Linked DNA regions of Neodiprion lecontei. The protein of the gene in region 1 purifies or fractionates together with the protein of each later gene. This does not show direct contact. Links are inferred from orthologs where the notes say so. Each region holds a gene or a part of one and is shown on either strand. Other genes may lie near its edges.

The links. Proteins that work in one complex are often made in the same cells at the same time.
Region 2: the proteins of nuclear receptor-binding protein (region 1) and protein bunched, class 2/F/G isoform purify together in Homo sapiens (affinity purification with mass spectrometry; 5 studies listed by BioGRID and IntAct, with this or other methods). This does not show direct contact. The link is inferred for Neodiprion lecontei from reciprocal best matches to the Homo sapiens genes NRBP1 and TSC22D2.

What each region holds. Positions count from the first base shown.
Region 1 is NC_060263.1:2,485,491-2,494,549, forward strand, and holds nuclear receptor-binding protein, read right to left. Parts: upstream 6,872-9,059; 5' UTR 6,179-6,871; coding exon 6,050-6,178; intron 5,906-6,049; coding exon 5,798-5,905; intron 5,654-5,797; coding exon 5,429-5,653; intron 5,354-5,428; coding exon 5,223-5,353; intron 5,124-5,222; coding exon 5,029-5,123; intron 3,807-5,028; coding exon 3,723-3,806; intron 3,630-3,722; coding exon 3,330-3,629; intron 3,253-3,329; coding exon 3,093-3,252; intron 2,822-3,092; coding exon 2,635-2,821; intron 2,555-2,634; coding exon 2,435-2,554; intron 2,292-2,434; coding exon 2,007-2,291; 3' UTR 412-2,006; downstream 1-411. Other genes in the region: kinase D-interacting substrate of 220 kDa B, read right to left, coding at 8,008-8,189, 8,268-8,454, 8,573-8,835, 8,928-9,059. UniProt on the Homo sapiens protein: Required for embryonic development. Plays a role in intestinal epithelial cell fate and proliferation, thereby involved in the architectural development of the intestine potentially via the regulation of Wnt-responsive genes.
Region 2 is NC_060264.1:22,930,845-22,939,509, reverse strand, and holds the start of protein bunched, class 2/F/G isoform, read left to right. Parts: upstream 1-2,365; 5' UTR 2,366-3,704; coding exon 3,705-5,482; intron 5,483-5,716; coding exon 5,717-5,768; intron 5,769-8,665. UniProt on the Homo sapiens protein: Reduces the level of nuclear PKM isoform M2 which results in repression of cyclin CCND1 transcription and reduced cell growth.

The sequences.
Region 1 (9,059 bases):
TACCTCGGTGATATACATTATACAATTATTGAACCGTACGTGGACGTATACGTGTTTGAATATATTTGTTATTTTATCCCACCTTTTTACACTTTAAGATTAGTAATTATTACTAATATTATTTACAAAATCTATTAGTAGTTATATACTCTGACTAGTTCTTTGTGCCATGACCTAGTTAGTTGTTCGAAAAAAAAAAAAAATTAACAGAAAAATAATTATTATGTATGTTACATACGTACACGTTTACAAAACATTCTCGGAAGGTTTGTTTTTTCAATGAAAAATTCTGGTTTAATCAAATGCGACAGTTGGTACGTGCGTATGGAAAATTCTTTTTTCGAAAAATAAGACACATTGGCAACGTATACATACATACAATAAATCATTTGTACCTCGAATGCATAAAAATTTGTAAATATTTGTTTTATTGGTGATTCAGAGACCTACTACATTTTATACATACTACGATTATTACACTTAATAGGTACAACGAACAAATTTGGCATTATACCGCTGCTATAAACAATTGCGCAAAGTGGCGCAGCTTTATTATTCCGCGAGTAGCAGTAGTTGTAGTAGTAGTAGGTAGTAGTAGCAGTAGTAGTAGTAGTAGTAGTAGTAGTAGTAGTAGTAGTGATGGTGGTACGAGAATCGAGATATTTAATTGATTTTCACAAGAAATATGCAATAATCTGTAACAAAGTTTCCGAGCATTCGAGCGTTCGATATTTATAATTTATCTTACTTTTATTAACGCAATCTGTTACTCAATTTTGCGTACAAGGTATCACGCAGCTAGGTAGGTACATATTTTATTTCATGGTAGGACATATCGATGGCGGATGCGGAGCTGCTCAACAGATGTTGGTGATATTTAAAATGATCGCACGGACTAATAGGTAAAAAATAATTAGAAAAGAAAAGAAAAACACACGATTCTGTCATCAAAAAATGCGTTTGTAATTTTTAGCTCTCTGTTCGCGGTACGTGTTTTTTCTCTAAATTATTTATTATTAAATTAAGTGGTTTATTCGAATTTTCATTGTATATATAAAAATAATGCCTATTGATTCAAATATCAAGATACACGGTCTCTTATGGGTTTTTTTCTTTTTCAATTGTCAATACTAGTAGAAACAAAAAATCAAAAAATAACAGAAATGGTATCAATTGCGTACACGAACGAGTATTATTCAGGGGCAAAAATGCTGAATTAACAAAGTGAAATCTCTCGAAGTGCGTAAAATAATTTAGAATTTTACAAATTGCTAATTATGAAAAAAGAAAGAAATACATTGTATGTACACGAGAAAATTTATCTGAAAGCGAAATTAAGTTCCAGAGTTGAAAATAAGAAATAATTTTTCTTCTATTTTTACTTTCCTCGCGTACGTCTTTGGGGAGAAAGTAAAAAATTATCAAAATGCGTCTCTAAGCATATTAATATTATGTATGTAGCAAAAGCGGGACTAACAGAAGGTAAAACGTCTCCTTGCAAAGAAAACGAAAAAAATTCATGTAGTAATATCAAAGAATTAATACACTTATCATTTTGCGGCGCCGTCATAACTGAGAGTTTGTAAAGTATTTTTTTTTTTCTTTTTTCTTTTTTCTTTTTCAAAGAGAGAGTTATAGACCCTAAGAATGTTATAAAATTTGTCTCACTAATATTTCAGCGATAATACAATATGACCATTTCTAATATGATTTATTAAATAAAATTTACTTTATTCGTCTTACCAAATATTTCGACCCTGAAATTGAGTTCACTCACTGTCATATCGTACCGTGAAATATTCGGTTAAAATGTGCATGTTTATCATCACGGTTATGCTTTTTTGAAAGCCACGACTCGATTCCTCCTCCCCTCTCCTTCCAAGCTCATCTCCCTCATTATTCCACTTTCTGTCGTATTTACTTAAATATAAAAATACATAGCCAGTCTATATATAAAATGTGCAAGGTGGCACATTGAACTGAATTATCACAAATCCTCTCGATGGTTAACTACCGCTGTCGGCGATTATTGATGATTCTGCTTCCCTACTTTCTGTTCCTTTTTTATACGAATTTCCAATCAAATTCTCACCGCCACTCGCTGTTGCAACACCAGCGACAGAGGAATTATTATCTAAATGTTGCAAACACGGAAATTCAGGCCCGGAGAGTAACAGTGTCGTTTGCGTTGGAAGATTTGTCAAGGATACCATTCCAGGATTCATCATTTGCTTGTTGAAACAACTTCTTAATGCCTCTTCGATTAGATTTCCTATCTTATCACGATCGTTCTGAAATAAATACGTACAATTGTACAAATTTTATTGCATTATATGAATTTCCTGCCAATATTTTGTAGGGACAGTACACCTTTCGTTGTTCCTACACCTTGTATACGATTTTTTTCTCTCTAGCTTTATCGGTCCGCACTTACCTCGTTGATAAACCCAAAATGTACGAGTTCTTGTGCGAGAAGCATCGACGTGTCGATTTGCGTTATAGGACATGTGAGTTGCCTGTTCATTTTATCATCCATTCGCAAAAGTATCGTCATCTGAAACGAATGAACAATAGTGTAACAACAGCTTTGAAAAATGAATATGAATCGAAGTAACAAATTTAACAAAGACTTACAAGAAGTTCACGGCTCTCTTCTCTAGGCTTCACGTTGCACATCATATTTACAACTCTCCGAGATTCAAAGTCAAGTGGTTCAGGTGTTACAGACTTGACAGATTCCGTTACTTCTGGGGATATGGCACGAGGTCGAACCGGAGGCGGTAACTTAGCCATAAATGCAGTTAACGGGTATATTCCATACCTGAATGTTAATCGAGAGGAGATGATTATTTTCGATATTCAGAACAGCACGAGTATTCAAAGTTGAATATTTTCATACCCTTAAACGAGATCAATTATTAGCAAGTATTAGATGCATCTACAAAGAAATTAAAAGGCGATATAATATTAGAAAGAAATTGGTAAGACAGCAGAAAAATTGCACATGTGCAGACTATCGATAGACATATAATACGGTAGGACAATCATTTTAAATGTGACTATATAGAGAGCGAGTCTAATCCAAAACTTACTTTACATCTTCGACGAATTTCTCTAATTTTTCAGCAACTTGAATATCACTTGAACGAATTTGGTACGGAGAACGATCTGCATAACGTACTTCAGCAACGACTGTGTCGGGTCCGTACAGCCTTTGTAGCACCTCATCTGTTATTGTCTCTGATATATTTGCTAAAAATGAAAGAAAATATCTGTTGTTGTATTTGGATAAAGACCAACAATACTAGACAAAGGCACGATATACTTACTGGCTGAATTAACCAAAGCGTGTGCCGCCAACAGCTTCAGGGTGTGAACCTCGAAAAGTAGAGGATGAAATAAAAGTTCTCTGGCGCTAGGCCGACAGATGGGATTTACTTGAAGACATTTATGAATGAAATCCTTCTGCTGGCTGTCATCTAACGATTCTATGGTTTTATTGATATTTTCGTCCGTAACTACGGTACCAGTATCGCCGTTTCCTTGAATTTCTAGCGCTGCCATTTCCAATGCACACATTCCAAAGGAATAAATATCAATAGCCGGAGTTAACGAGCCTAAGGATAAAACTAGAAAGAAAGAAAAATATATCATCAACAATTGGACAAGCATTTCCTCTCTTACGGGTCCAAAGTCTTTGGCTGATACTAAATGGAACTTACTTCCGTATTCTGGTGCAACAAAATGCATATTCTTCGTATTTGCCCTGCAGGTTTTTACGTGATGATGAATAGCATCAGGCGCCACTGTAATGTCAAAGAAATTCACTTTTAGTTTGCCAAAACATGGTTCAAAAATGTGAAAAAAAGTTGAAAAAAAAGTACAGGCAGTACAGAAGACTTTTCCCATGAAACATTGGAATAATATCTATTATATGGTGGGAAAATTTTTCCGTCTGTCACATATTTCAAGATTTTTATGTAATTACTGTAGTTTGTCAGTTGATCCTTTCATACCCACGAAATTTTTTTTTCATAGAAGTACTTAAAGAATCATTGATATAATCGATAATAAGATAATTACAAGTGTAAATTGAGCCCTCATTTCATTCGGTTCTGAAGTATATCCTGACACACAGATAACATGTTCTTCATTAATTTTTTCACGTCTATTCTCAGGACGAAATAGTGGTTCTTTTTTAAAAATAAGATTACACTTAGCATCGTAACTGAGTGTGAAAGAAGTACTTGAAAAGTATACTTTCTATAATTAATAAATTATGCATAATAATAATATTGTTTACCTCTGTGCCTAATTTACTTAGCTGGCGATAGGTGATAATCTGCCAAGTTGAGAAGTTTCACCACTTCGCCACCTGTGGCAAGTTATGAGGCCAATTGATAGGTTGTAGATGTCGAAAATTTAATTTCTCCGGTAGATACGGTGAAAGTACGTTTGTACCCTCGTCTCTCTTGTTGAAGGCATTGCTGTTTTTTTTTCATTATCTAGATTAGAGGCTATTTGCTACAATTAAAAATGAGGACTCAAGTTACTCCTAGTTCAAAAGGAACATTAGAATAACACAATCTTTTTGTCTAACTTCTGTGTACATCTAAATTTAGAATACGTTCTGTCCTATCTACTGCTAGCAAAAACCTTACATAGTTCCCATTTCGTTTACAATAGTATTTAGTAGTGACATCATTGGTATTCTCCAACTATGCAATTATAATTGTGGAGATTTCTAATTTCTCTACTCACGTTTCAATGTCATTGTTTCCTGTTTCGATTAAATATTATTTCATTTATCAGAACGGCTATGTGCTGATTGTAAAGAATCAGCTGAAAACAAGTTGCTTGCTTAAATAATCCGTTGATGATTTTTGCAAACGAGCAAAGCCATCAAGCACAATTAGACATCCATTAAAACTATGTGTATTCTGCGTATTAGCATTAAAGACAGAACAACCGGTCAGCAATAAGTACGTAACGTCATCCGCCTTATACGCTTTCAATATTACTGCTTACCTGAACCAATTTTAACTAGGCCATTGTGCTGAATAAAAATAGTATCACAGGTAAGATTTCCATGAATAATAGGAGGTGAGCAAGAATGCAGGTAACTGAAACAGGAATTTGATCATTGTATTACGAATTGGGACAGATTAAAGCAGGGGAAAATTTAAAAGATTGTCCTATTATTTAATAACTTCGTGACATACCTTAACGCTGAAAGAATTTGTGTACACCATCGTTTCCAAGCCTGCAGTGGTAATTTTTTAACGTTACGTTTCGTCCTTTTGAGGAACTGCTTCAACGATCCCGACGACATATATTCAGTTATGAATATTACCTAAAAAATAAAAAATGAGCTTTTTATCCGGCAGACATATAATTATTTTGTTCAAATAATAAACCAACGACTTACTCGTGGCTTGTCATTGTGAGTATCTGTCCAATATCTATGAAATTTCACTATATTGGGATGCTCTAGTTGAGTCAAATTTTCAAACACAAGTTGAATTTTCTCCTCTTGTGCTTTGAAATTCTTGCGCTCGGAAAACTGTACCTCGTTCCAAACAACCTCGACACCTTCCTCTGTGTCCATAGCAAGGTAGGCACAATCAATACCCGGCAAATCCCTCTTTTCAGCCTGAAAAAAATACCACTCGATTAGATTGGAAGAACACGAATCGATCATAAACCTTGGAACTGTCCCCGGACAATAACTATTAAACCTAAGAAACACAGAGTTATTATCTTAGCAAAGTGAGGTAAAATCTGGAGAAATTCTCACTTCCATATCGGGGTTTGAGAGATTCTTGTCGTTTTCCGTGGCGTTGCTCCGAGCTGATCCTGCAAAGGTGGACCCTTCGGCTAGAGCAGATTTAGTAGGTACGTAGACCTGTAAAGAAAAATCAACAGATGGATTCAGTGGGTCGAGTTGTTGTGGCATAAAGAATAAGACGAAAAGCAAGCCTAAATAAGATATATACGATCATTTTTGTCAACCACGTATGAGGTGAAAATGACGACTGGAATAAGTTACCTCTTCTCGCCTCTTGAGCCAGCGTCCGCAGGGACTTTCCTCGAGGATTTCACTCTCATCCTCAGAATCTTCGCCACTTTCCCGCGGTGACTTGTGCTCTGGGTCTGTGCTGGATCGACTCCCAGGCATTACATACAACAATTATGACGGCACGTTGAAAACTTGAAAGCTGCAGAACTGAGTCACTGAGTTAAATACCATAATAATATTATATTGATATTTAGAGTAACATTTGATCACTGCGAAAGAAGTATGTATTATTAATATGTTGATGGAGTAGAAAACGTCGTTGAAGGGAGGGGAAGTCGAGAGGGGGATTGAGGGAGGTTGAGTATAAAATTATTATCTTTTATTTAAATGTATTTATATATTGTATACGCCTCCTCCTCTACTAGAGTGACACATGCAGCACGACCGATCCCAATTTTAACGTATTATGTCTATTATTATTTACTGCACTACGCGATCCGGCAGCGACACAATTTATTCGCTGGTACTCGGCGAACCGTTTCCGGCACAATTCATAACCGAAATATCATCCATCGAGATCACTGGTTTCAAATTAAAACCCGTGTGACGTGAAAGGGAGAGAATTATTACCGTGTGACACACACTATACACTCCTCATTGCCATTGCGCTGTAATATCATCTCACTCTATCTTCGGTTACCAAAAGCTTAATACAAGTCTGAGCACGACAGTAACGCCGCGCCCACCGGCAGCGACTGCCTCTCGCGGGAAAATCGGGGAGTTTGAATACATTCATTCATTCCTTGTCTAACTCACGTCTAACTATTCGATTCATCTATCGCCTAATACTTTTACAGGGCCGAACATGCAACGATCGGTGCCCGAAAAATTTTTCTAAATTTCCAGGTACAACTTTTTTTAAACGTTTTAGATTTCTCCTTTTTCAGATTTTTTTTATCCTTTGTAATTGTTTTAGACGTTTGAGACGGATTAATCCAATGATGTCCAACATCGTCATGGACATTAATAAATACTAATAATACCAATACTTTCCAATGGTCATGCGTGTACGCGTAATTCAAGTCGATGAAAATTGTCGATATAAGAACGATGAGTATTTAAAATGTTTTCTCTTTTTTAAACCGTATATTCTGAATAAAAAAATAATCAACGTTTAGTATATACATCTTATATATGAGTAAACATTAATAACAATATCTTATTATACGTATAACAAGACGTTTACGAATGTACAATATACAGCATAGCTGTATTAGCTAGCAATAAGTTATTAAGGCACAGCACAGTGAGTGTGTGGGTGTACATTCTGGTAGTTATGTTAGTTCTGGAATTGATTGAAAGGTTACACAAACCTAGAACTTCTTTTCCTTCTTCTATAGTCTAGCGTTACACGTTATATAAGTTATGGGGATGGTTACCCCTCAGTCGCAACCTGAACACTTTGATCCGAGAGTTGCAAAGACCAGGTCCCAGGTTTTTTTTTTTATATCATAATAATACATCATAGTTTGTGACTCTTTACCTCACGGTAACTATAGAATAGTAAGTAATGAATCACTAGAAAAATTGGTCGCCTAAATAACTCTACAGGAAAAATAAAATACCGATTAAATTCGCATATTGCGCGAAATTCATTCGCTCGTAAATTGCTGACTGGATTTTTTTAAGTAATCAAGATATGTATAAATCTACTATAAAGAGTACTATTTGTTCTCAATTTGTGTTAAACTATTCAGTATCGTACCAAACTTTGGTAAAATAAGGAAAACAGTAGGTATGTTCAGTAATGATAAGTACGCGACGTGTCGGTGGATTGAAAATTGTATAGAAAATCAATAGACATTAAATGCGTGATACTATACCAGCCTTTCATAAGATAAGGCAAATGAATATACAGAATTCGAAATATTGTTACGATATGGCGCGTAGCAACGTGATTACAAAAAACTAAAACGGAAAGGTACAAATCAAGGATTTTCGGTGTTGTCCGTTTTAGTAGATGCAGATACGGTTGGTATCGGCTCTGTAGATCCTTGAAGTTTCTCAGCTGAAGCAGCGATCGATTTTTTCCGTCGATCCATAATCAGTTTCACGATCCAAAGGATAGTCAATGGAATTGGCGTCATTATCGCAACTGATACTGGAGCAACTGCAAAGTAAACGAAATTGTTGAAATAATTCTCCGAAATAGAGATGATAGCTTATACAAGAATAGGTATATTCTTACTGGTGGTCAAATCAGCAGCTGGTTGCGGCAACGAGAATCTGAGTAGAAATATCGAGATTCCGGTGTTTTGAACTCCGGTTTCGACGGAGATTGCCGTTATATCAGGGCCCGGTTGCCTCAGAACAAGAGCGAGCAAATACCCAAACAAATACCCCAGCCAGGGTAATCCAATACCGGCAACAATGATCTGAAAAGTAATTTGATCAGCATGTTGAGTAATTCTTGGGAAATTCTAAACCTAGGGTTAGAGTAATATGGCAATTATTTTTGACGGTGCTATTTGGAAGTAAAAATTGTGTAATTACCCTCCACGAAAACAGTTGAAAGAGATACAGATTGGTAATAATGGCGAATACGATGATAGCAATGATCAGCAGACTGCACAACGGCTTCAGTATTCTTACTAGTATCCTTGAGACCCTTGGCAGTTTTTTCTGAATCAGGAATCCGATACCCAATGGAATGACAAGACCAACTGCGAACATTGCTATCCTCGAGTACGGAACCCCGAGGTTTGCACTGTTGAAAATCGTACTCCCAAGGGTGAAGATCCACAGCGGCATCATGCCTACGAATCACACATGATTTGATTAATATTCTCCGAACGATTTTTGTAAAGATCATATCGCAGTACATACAAAAGCGAGTCGGAAAACTCACCAAACGCTGCCAATGTACTGATGGTGGTCATTGTTACAGATAAATTGAGATTGCCGCCCAAAATTACTGTCCAAATATTAGATGCACCTCCGGCAGGACTCACCCCGGCGAAAAACATCCCCAACCGCAGTT
Region 2 (8,665 bases), on another chromosome or scaffold:
GGTTCCTAATAAAACTGCGGTGAATCTGTCGATTCGTTCAATTTTTCCACTGATCTCTTCGGTTGATAATGAAAGCAAACTGCTGCTACATTCATCGACTCGTCGTTCACCCCCTGTTATGAATCATGACCGTAGAGACGTCATTGGATAAATCACGACCATGACGTCGAGAATAATACTCACAATCAGCCACATCTAATTCAAACTTAAATTCAAATATACTACGCGACGAAAAATGCTGAAAAAAATTATATTCGCGATGCAGTAAATTGTCTCTACCTGTAGTAACTCTCACAATCAATCATAAATACTATTAACTGTACGTATATGTATATGTAATATATACGTTGTGTAGCCTTCAGATTTTAGCTAGGTGACCAGGTTACAGGCATTTGTTCTGTTAACAAATATAAATCTGTCCGGAGCAATTCGATATTTCAAACACTCATGCACGTCTGGACCGTTATTCTCTAACCGTTTATGATCGTTTCACGTGTGATGGAACCGACTTTCCGTTTAAAGTTGTTCTCTGATTAGTCTAGTTACGTCTATGACGCTTCGTCACCGAGTACCACCATGAAAGGATTTCATGTGTCAGAGTCCAGTCTCTACTAAAGGTCTACCTTTGGAACATCCTCTTCGGAGGAATAGTCGTACAGGAGAAAAAGAAGAAGGATCTCCTACGGCGTGCACTCAATTATAAATTATAAATTTATAGATACTCACGTTCTCAAACCGTTCTGTTTCTATGAACATTAGTACGTTAGCCCCATTCAATTACTGATGAACCTAGCTAAAATAAATCTCAGTTGCTACACATAAAAATTACACTGAAAAATGAATCTCTGAAGTCAAGTAGTAGAACGAGAAACAGAGTTATATTGCTACCAAATATTAAAAAAACCATAACTGGTAAAAGTAATTATATAAAGGCGGAGTTTTCAATTTAGTATCACATGAATTTTAATTCTGACAAGTAAAAAGAAAATATTTACGAGAAAGCTTAAAAAGCTTTTAGCTCTAAAGATGTAAATATTTGAGTACCACAGGGAACAGGGTGGTCCTAGTTTAGGGTGTTGCTGAATTTTTTCAGGCTACCCCCCAAATCTATTATTAATTTTTTTAGATTTTTATTTCAATTCTAACCCGTGCCGGTAATACGATGGATTTTCCGATTCAAAATACACATAGTTAGAGTAATATTGTTAAAAAAAACCTGTAACTGCGAGATTTCAATGGGCATTAGTGCTACTATCTGTGAAGAAATTTACATCACCGTACCCGGCAATCTCGGCAAATTGCACACCCTTGCATACTGAGAATGTGGCCGAAACACGAGTATTTTAAATGGAGGCATTCACCCTCTTACAGGCACGAGTTAGAGATGTGATAAAAATCTAAAAAAATTAGGACATTTTTTTTGAATCATTTGGGTAGATTTGGGGGGTGGCTCGGGTATAATTCGTCAACACCTTAAATAAGGACTATACCTTAGAGCATATTACTGTACATAAACAGTCTTTTGGAATTGCTGATGATATAGTTTCTTGCAGTGCTACAGATTCGATAAGTTTAAAAAATTTGCTATCGACCAACTGAAAAAAATGAAGTATTGGTTATATGAAAATAGTTTGTCATTAAACGTTGCCAAATCAGTATGCATTACTTTCGGAAATTACCGTGGGTCCATACAGAAATTGTGGCGGAGGGTGAGATAGAGCACTTATGCCATGTATGTACAGCCTGTCTCTCTCGCTCTACAACCTGCTTGTCCGATGCGTTCCCTCTCAGCCAATCAAATGCAGAGTGAGAGTGACAGAGTATCCAGGTTAACTCGGGGATACATATCTCGCTCTCTCATGACTACGGCCACAGTTTTCGCGAAGTCGACGGCATGGGTAGCTCCACCTTCAGTATTATATGTTCTAAGGGAGTTTCCAGACAGACCCGTGTAATACCATGGGTAACGTAAGCCGTGTTCGAAAATTGACTGACAGTACTGGCAGCAATCTTTCATCTCTTTTGCGCTTCCAAGTTCGTGAATAGCTCTGACTCTGTCCTGGGGAATTTTGAGTACTGTCAGTCAATTTACGAACACGGCCGTAGTAAGTGAAGAACGCTACTAGTTCTCTGGGGAATTTTTATTTAGGCCGTGTTCGTAAATTGACTGCCAGTACTAAAAATTCCCTAGGACAGAGACAGAGCTGTTCATGAACTCGGCAGCACAAAAGAGATGAAAGATTGCTGACAGTACTGTCAGTCAATTTTCGAACACGGTCTTAGTGCGCAACTTAGGTCCTCAAGGCCGTATTTGAAGACGATCTAAGTACATTCATGTAGTATATGATTCATTGCGAGCCCGAGTGAATGGCAGCCATTTTTAAACCGCTGTTGCTCACTGCTGCTGCCTGTCTGCCACTGCAAAGGCGGAGCGAGAGAAGGAAAAATAGAAGAAAAAAATAATAAACCAACAGTATAAATAATATAGTAACAGAGATGAACGTTGGTGACGAAGGGAATTGAGAAGAGAAGAAGGATATCACGCAGAACACGCATTAACGACATCTAGATATAGATATACATACGTATATCTATACCCACATACACACACACTCATATATTCATCTGCATTTGTTTTCTACCCGTAGAGAGAGAGCGAAAAAATAAAAAAAAAATAAGAAAAATCATGTAAAATGTAACCTGTCTAATTCGCAAAAAGTCAAGTACCTCGGCGCGGTTTGCGGTGATCTACCGCAAGTCCACAAGTCAAAAAATAAACACAGCATCAGGTACGAGTGAAATCTGACAATTACGGGGTACATGAGGGGCTGTTTGTGTAAATGAAACTACAGCAAAAGGAAGATAGATTAGTGTGCAGAGTAGCAGCAGCAGCAGTGCAGTAAACAAGAAGAGGAGGAATAAGACGATGCAAATACCAAAGTCGCGATAATCCCGTCGGAGACGGTAATCTAGCCGATCAACTGATGCCCCTCGGATTTTTCGGGGGCTGTGAAAGAGAAACCGTGTCGAGGAAACCAGGAACAGGGAACTAGCGATGATCAAGAACTGTCAACACCAGCATCCCTCGCAGCCAGTTAGTGATTGTGTCGTGTTATATCGTATGGCGTGCATATGCTGTGTATTTCTGTGTGTGGCTAGACGATAAATCATGTGGCAAAAAATGGGCAGAATAAACACCCTCCGAAATCCGCAATAATAATCCTGATCGTCCCTTCGTCGTGACGTCTCTTCTCGGTTCCGTCGGCGATTCGTACTCGTGCAATTATACGAGTTTTTCAAACAAAAGAAGGAGAAATAGAACAAATACACCCCCGTCATCCACCCCTGCGTAAGAGGGAAAAGAAAGAAAAAAAAAGTACATTGAACAACTTGAGAGCAGGAAAACCCGACGACGACCGTTTCGGTCGCAACTCTCGACGATAAGTGAGGCAGAGAGGGAAAGAGAAAAATAGAAATAGAAGAAAATAGTTCCTGGGTGAAAAACCGGGACTTGAGTCGTCGTCGTCGACGGCGCCGAGAGTCGAACAAGACACGCAAGAAACACAATGGTGTTAACATGCAACTGGGGAAAAAGTCTAGCCACGACAGTCGATGCCAAAGCCTCGACCTCCACCGCCTCCTCCTCTTCCTCGGAGAGAATTGTAGAATGCGAATGTTTCTAATAAACAAACTAATCTATAATAATGGCAGATAATGTGCACAGAAAGTCGCACAGCAAACACTTGGCAGACAGCGTTAACAACAGCGTTAGCAATAGTAGTAGTAGTAAAAAATTGTCCTCATCGCCCTCTTCGGTCGTGCATCGCACAACCTCGGAGACGATCAGGATCGGTGAGCCTGATAAGTTTCTCCAGCCGTTGGCACCACCCCCGACGACGTCGACTCCTGTCCAGAACAATGTTGCCTCATCGGCGTCGTCGGGCGGTCAGTGCAGAAAGAAGACGTCATCGTTTCAGATAACCAGCGTGACGGTAGGCTGTAGGATGAGTAACGACGCTGGCGAGGATTCGAATGACGATCTGGATGAGTCACACACGGAAGATAATTCTGTGGAACACTCGAGAGTGACTGACATCGACATCGAGACGCCGAGCTACTCGGAGGACACCTTCTCTAAGGAAGACGTCTTTTTCAACACAAGCAATGCTGCCCTCGGTACTGCACCTGTCATTCCGACAAGCTCTCAGTACGGCCTTGCCATTGTTCCATCTGAGGGTGGCGGAGCAAGCAACTCAGCCAGCGAGAACAACATCAATGCCTTGGATATCGGCTCAGTGACGGACAAAAACATAATAAATCTTCTGTCAGGTGGTGCGAAGCAAGATCCCGATATTCGCGAGGTCCACTCGCATGGGCGCAATGAACGTTTCAAAGTTGTTAAGATCGAAAGCACAGAGCCGTTCAAGCGTGGTCGATGGACCTGCATGGACTACCTTGACCACACATCCGTCAACCAGACGACGGCTATTAATTCCATCAAGCAGTCAGGGCCGAATGAGGTTTGCATATCGTACGGCGTCACCGATAGTGGCATCGTTGTCCCCGAGGCCATGAAACAGCAGCAGCCAGACACCGAGGGCACGAAAAGTGTGGATTCCAATGGGCCAATATCGCACCAGGAAATTGTTGGGAGTGCCACCTACCCTGTAAACAGTACATCGCTCTCTCAGCAGCAGCAACCCAATCAACCGCAAATACAGCAGCAGTCGAATTCTGCTCAGCAACAGATTCCTCCACAGTACTTTCAGCAACAGCAGCAGCAAATGTCGCAGCAAACTCAGAACCAGAATCAGCACGGCGGAGGTGCGGCGCAGGGCGCTACTCTGCCATCGAATCTGGCACCTGCCTCACACCCAGGGAACCTTGGCCAGCCTCAGAGCATGCCGCAGGGCTCAATTCCGCTAATCGCGCAAACTGGGAACAACAGCAGCAACGGAGTCGCGATAGCGACGAACCAGCAGAACCTTCAGCAGCATCCTACTAAGGAGGAAAACTACGTTACAGTCAGTGCACAGGCTCCACAGCCGCAGCAGAACGTATGCCAGACGCCTACTGTCCAGACACCGGTTGTGCAAGGACATCCGGCCGCTGTGTCTTCACCAGCTGCTCAGACGCCAAACATCATGGTCACTGGAGTTCCACCGCCTCACCAGCAGCAGCAACTGTCCGAACCGATGGCAGGCATTCAGGGTGTGCAGAATATCCAGCAGCAACAGGCTGCACCAAATATCCATGTTTCCACTGCGCCCGTTATGCCACAGGCACAGATGCAGTCTCAGTCGTCGGGCCAGAATGTCATCTCGTTTCACCATTCCGACAACGAACAGGATCCTGCTGCTGGTATTGCTGGTCCTGTTGTTGCTGTTGTGCCTCCACAATCCGCGGATGCGACTCTGCTCGAATCCCTCGCTGAAGTCACCCAGAGCACTGACGAACATCACGCCCACGAAGACAATGAAAGGTGAGGAAGACTGGCCAATGAGTAATCGGATACGACGATGATAACGTTGGTCTAATTTTATCCTTGAGTATGTAGTAAAAATTTGGAAAATGTGGGAATTTTGTCTAATTTCTAATTTTTTAAAATGAAACAAGTACTTCTCCCGTATTTTCAATGCTCACATCTCGAATGAAAATCCTTTGTTGATATCGCAGTCGATTTCGTTGCTACTACTTTGTTCGTTTTAATTTTCAGTATGTCCGGGACCAGTGCAGTTGCCATTGACAACAAAATTGAACAAGCTATGGTAAGAATTCTTCTCAGTCTTCGTGGGTTTTCAGTCAGGCTTTTAGTTCCCTACAAAATTATAGTAATCGAAGAACTTTTTAGAGTCTAAGAACGAGTTGAAGTTAATAAAGTTGATCTAAAGAAACAGCGAAGGCAAAAATTCATTATGTTGCAATTTTAGAATGACCACAAAGAAGTTAATTGGGTTTTCAAAATATAAGTATATTAAGCTAATTAAACATTACGCTTCACCGATTTCAAACAATTTTAAAGTTATGAATGAATGTGTTTTTTTTTCTAAACAAGAAACACCCTCAACATCAGTAATACGTTTCTAATTTCAACCTCGTGTCTGAAAAAGAAGTTATGAAATTTTACGAACATAAAGACGGTAGGGGGATAAGCAGGGTAACAATGGCTTTTGCAAATATCTTAATAATTTCTTATGGATACGTAAGGACTATTAAAATACAAAGATCCTGAAAATATTAGATCTGAATCTCGATTAGTTTTTGAGAAAGAAAAAAAAGCTAAAAAAATGTTAAATAATTTTTTACTTAAGATTGACTTGACCGATTTGTTTGAAACTTTATATGTTAGTCAAAAGCTTTTATAGACACGTAGATTTTAAACTTAATAAATTCATGATAAGAAAAATTATTTTCTCTTAAACTTTTCTTTTTCACTGTGATTTTATTTGAGCAAAACTATGAACTGGAACTGAACTTGCTATCCAATCGCCAGTTTTACATTCCTCATGAATTCTTCAATGAGTCACATTTATTTCAAAATTTTGGTAGTGGTACGCCGTAATTAAAAAAACAAAAGAAACACCATTTTTTTTCCACACAAGAACTGAATTATGAAACAAGTTTTAGCCGTATTATTGCGAGTTGTGTTCTTGTTTTTAAATAAGTAATGTACTTAAATAATTCAGTTAATTGAGTAAGTAAATTATTTCAGTATATTGTTTATATACGTATGTATAAAAGTACGATTTGCAATAACACAGCTAAAATTTGTTTGCATAATTCAGTTTTTCTGGAATTAAAATAGTTGTATTTTTATTTTAACAGTGGCATACTGTAATGCAAATTTAGACAATGATACGATTTATTGAAAAATCTATAAGGAATGAAAAAATAACAGTTTCATCATTTTACTTGAAAAGTGTCACAGTGAAAATAAAAAATCAAGGAGACAATAATTTTTTTTATGATGCGCTTATTAAGCTAAAAATGTTTCCATTGTGTATGTACAAGCTCTTTGTTTCTTCAATAACATTTTCAATTTTCAAACATATTTGTCAGGTTAATCCCGATGAAAAAATTATTTTATAATAATAATAATAATAATTTATTGCCAGAATTATCTTAAACAAACTTTATGATAAAATTAGACTATACAACAAGATCTAACGTTTAAATAATTCTACTCAATAATGAAATACTTAATATTCACAAAATCCAATATTACCATTAACTCTTTATTTAATCTATTTTAAGTTGATATATTTTATCCTTAATTTTTTGTATTATTAATTTTTTGCTTCTATCAATAACTTTCAAATCATTTGGTTGTTCATTGAATAGTTTTTTACCGCATAATATAAGTAGCTTCTTTGCCCAATATGAAGATAATCTTTCGTTAATGAAATGCTACGATACCTAGTATTATTCGTATTCTCAGTGAATAACCTCCTCAGTTCCGTGTATTGGTACAGTATGGACCAGTAGGTAAACCTGTCTGATTTCCATAGGTCGATTCTGGTCATTAACTCGAATGTCAATTATCTCGGGTAACCGACTTTGTAGTGTTAATAATGGAAGGTACGCAGTATCATATAAACTACCCCATCCAATAATGCCGTACACTGCAATACTATGGAACATCGTACAATAAATTTGAATTACCTGCCTTTTTTGTTAAGACTTGTTTCAATCGATAGAACACAAACACTAAGTATTTAGTTTTATTAATAATATTATTAATATGCTGCTTCCATGAAATATTTTGATCCAAAATTATTCCAAGATATTTCCATTCAGGTACTCTCCTTAAACTGCATCCATTAACAGAAATGTCAATAGACATGGAAATTGAGTCAGAATAGTTGCCAAATGTTATATATATACTGACATTTTGATATTCAATACTAATTTGTTCCAGAATAACCAGACGCAAATTGAATCTAACTTTTAACTTGAATAAACCTCCAGCTCTGCCCATGTTTTACCATTGCTCACAACAGCTGTGTCATCAGCATATGCTATTAATTTCGGATGTATTTTTAATCGAATTTCGATGGTTGCGCACCTTAAATATAATTGAAAAAAAATGTTACATATTTTTTTTTCCCCGCATCATATTTACCCACCCTTAGAAAGCCTTACTTTTTCTTGTAAGAAAAGCATTCATTTTTTGAGGTTTTTAACCACAAGTGCGTACTGGGTCCAAAAAAACGTTAAAAATTTGTTAAAAAAGTAAAACGATTGTGAATTTGGCCCCTTTAAGACGCCGCTTGGGAAATATGGCTATCTTTATTTTTTACTCCGCTATCTAACTTTTAGTGCGGCAAGAAATTTTGACTATTGAATCCAAATTTTTGAGCGGTCAAAGAACTCAATAGTCTTAAGGTAAAAGGAAATTCTTCACTGAAAATAATAAGTAGATGTTCAAAAATTTCAATCATCTCATCTTCCTTCTTATAAGAAAAAGGAAATTCCCACACGCGGTTTTAAAGGGGACAAATTCCTCTTCATTTTGCTTCTTTACAAAATTATCTACAATCTTCTTTGAACCTGATACGCACTTTTGATTAAAAACCTCGAAAAATCAATTTTTTTTTTTAGGACCAACAATAGGGCTTCCTAGAGGTGGTTAAATACGAAGGGAAAAAAAATTTGCAACATATTT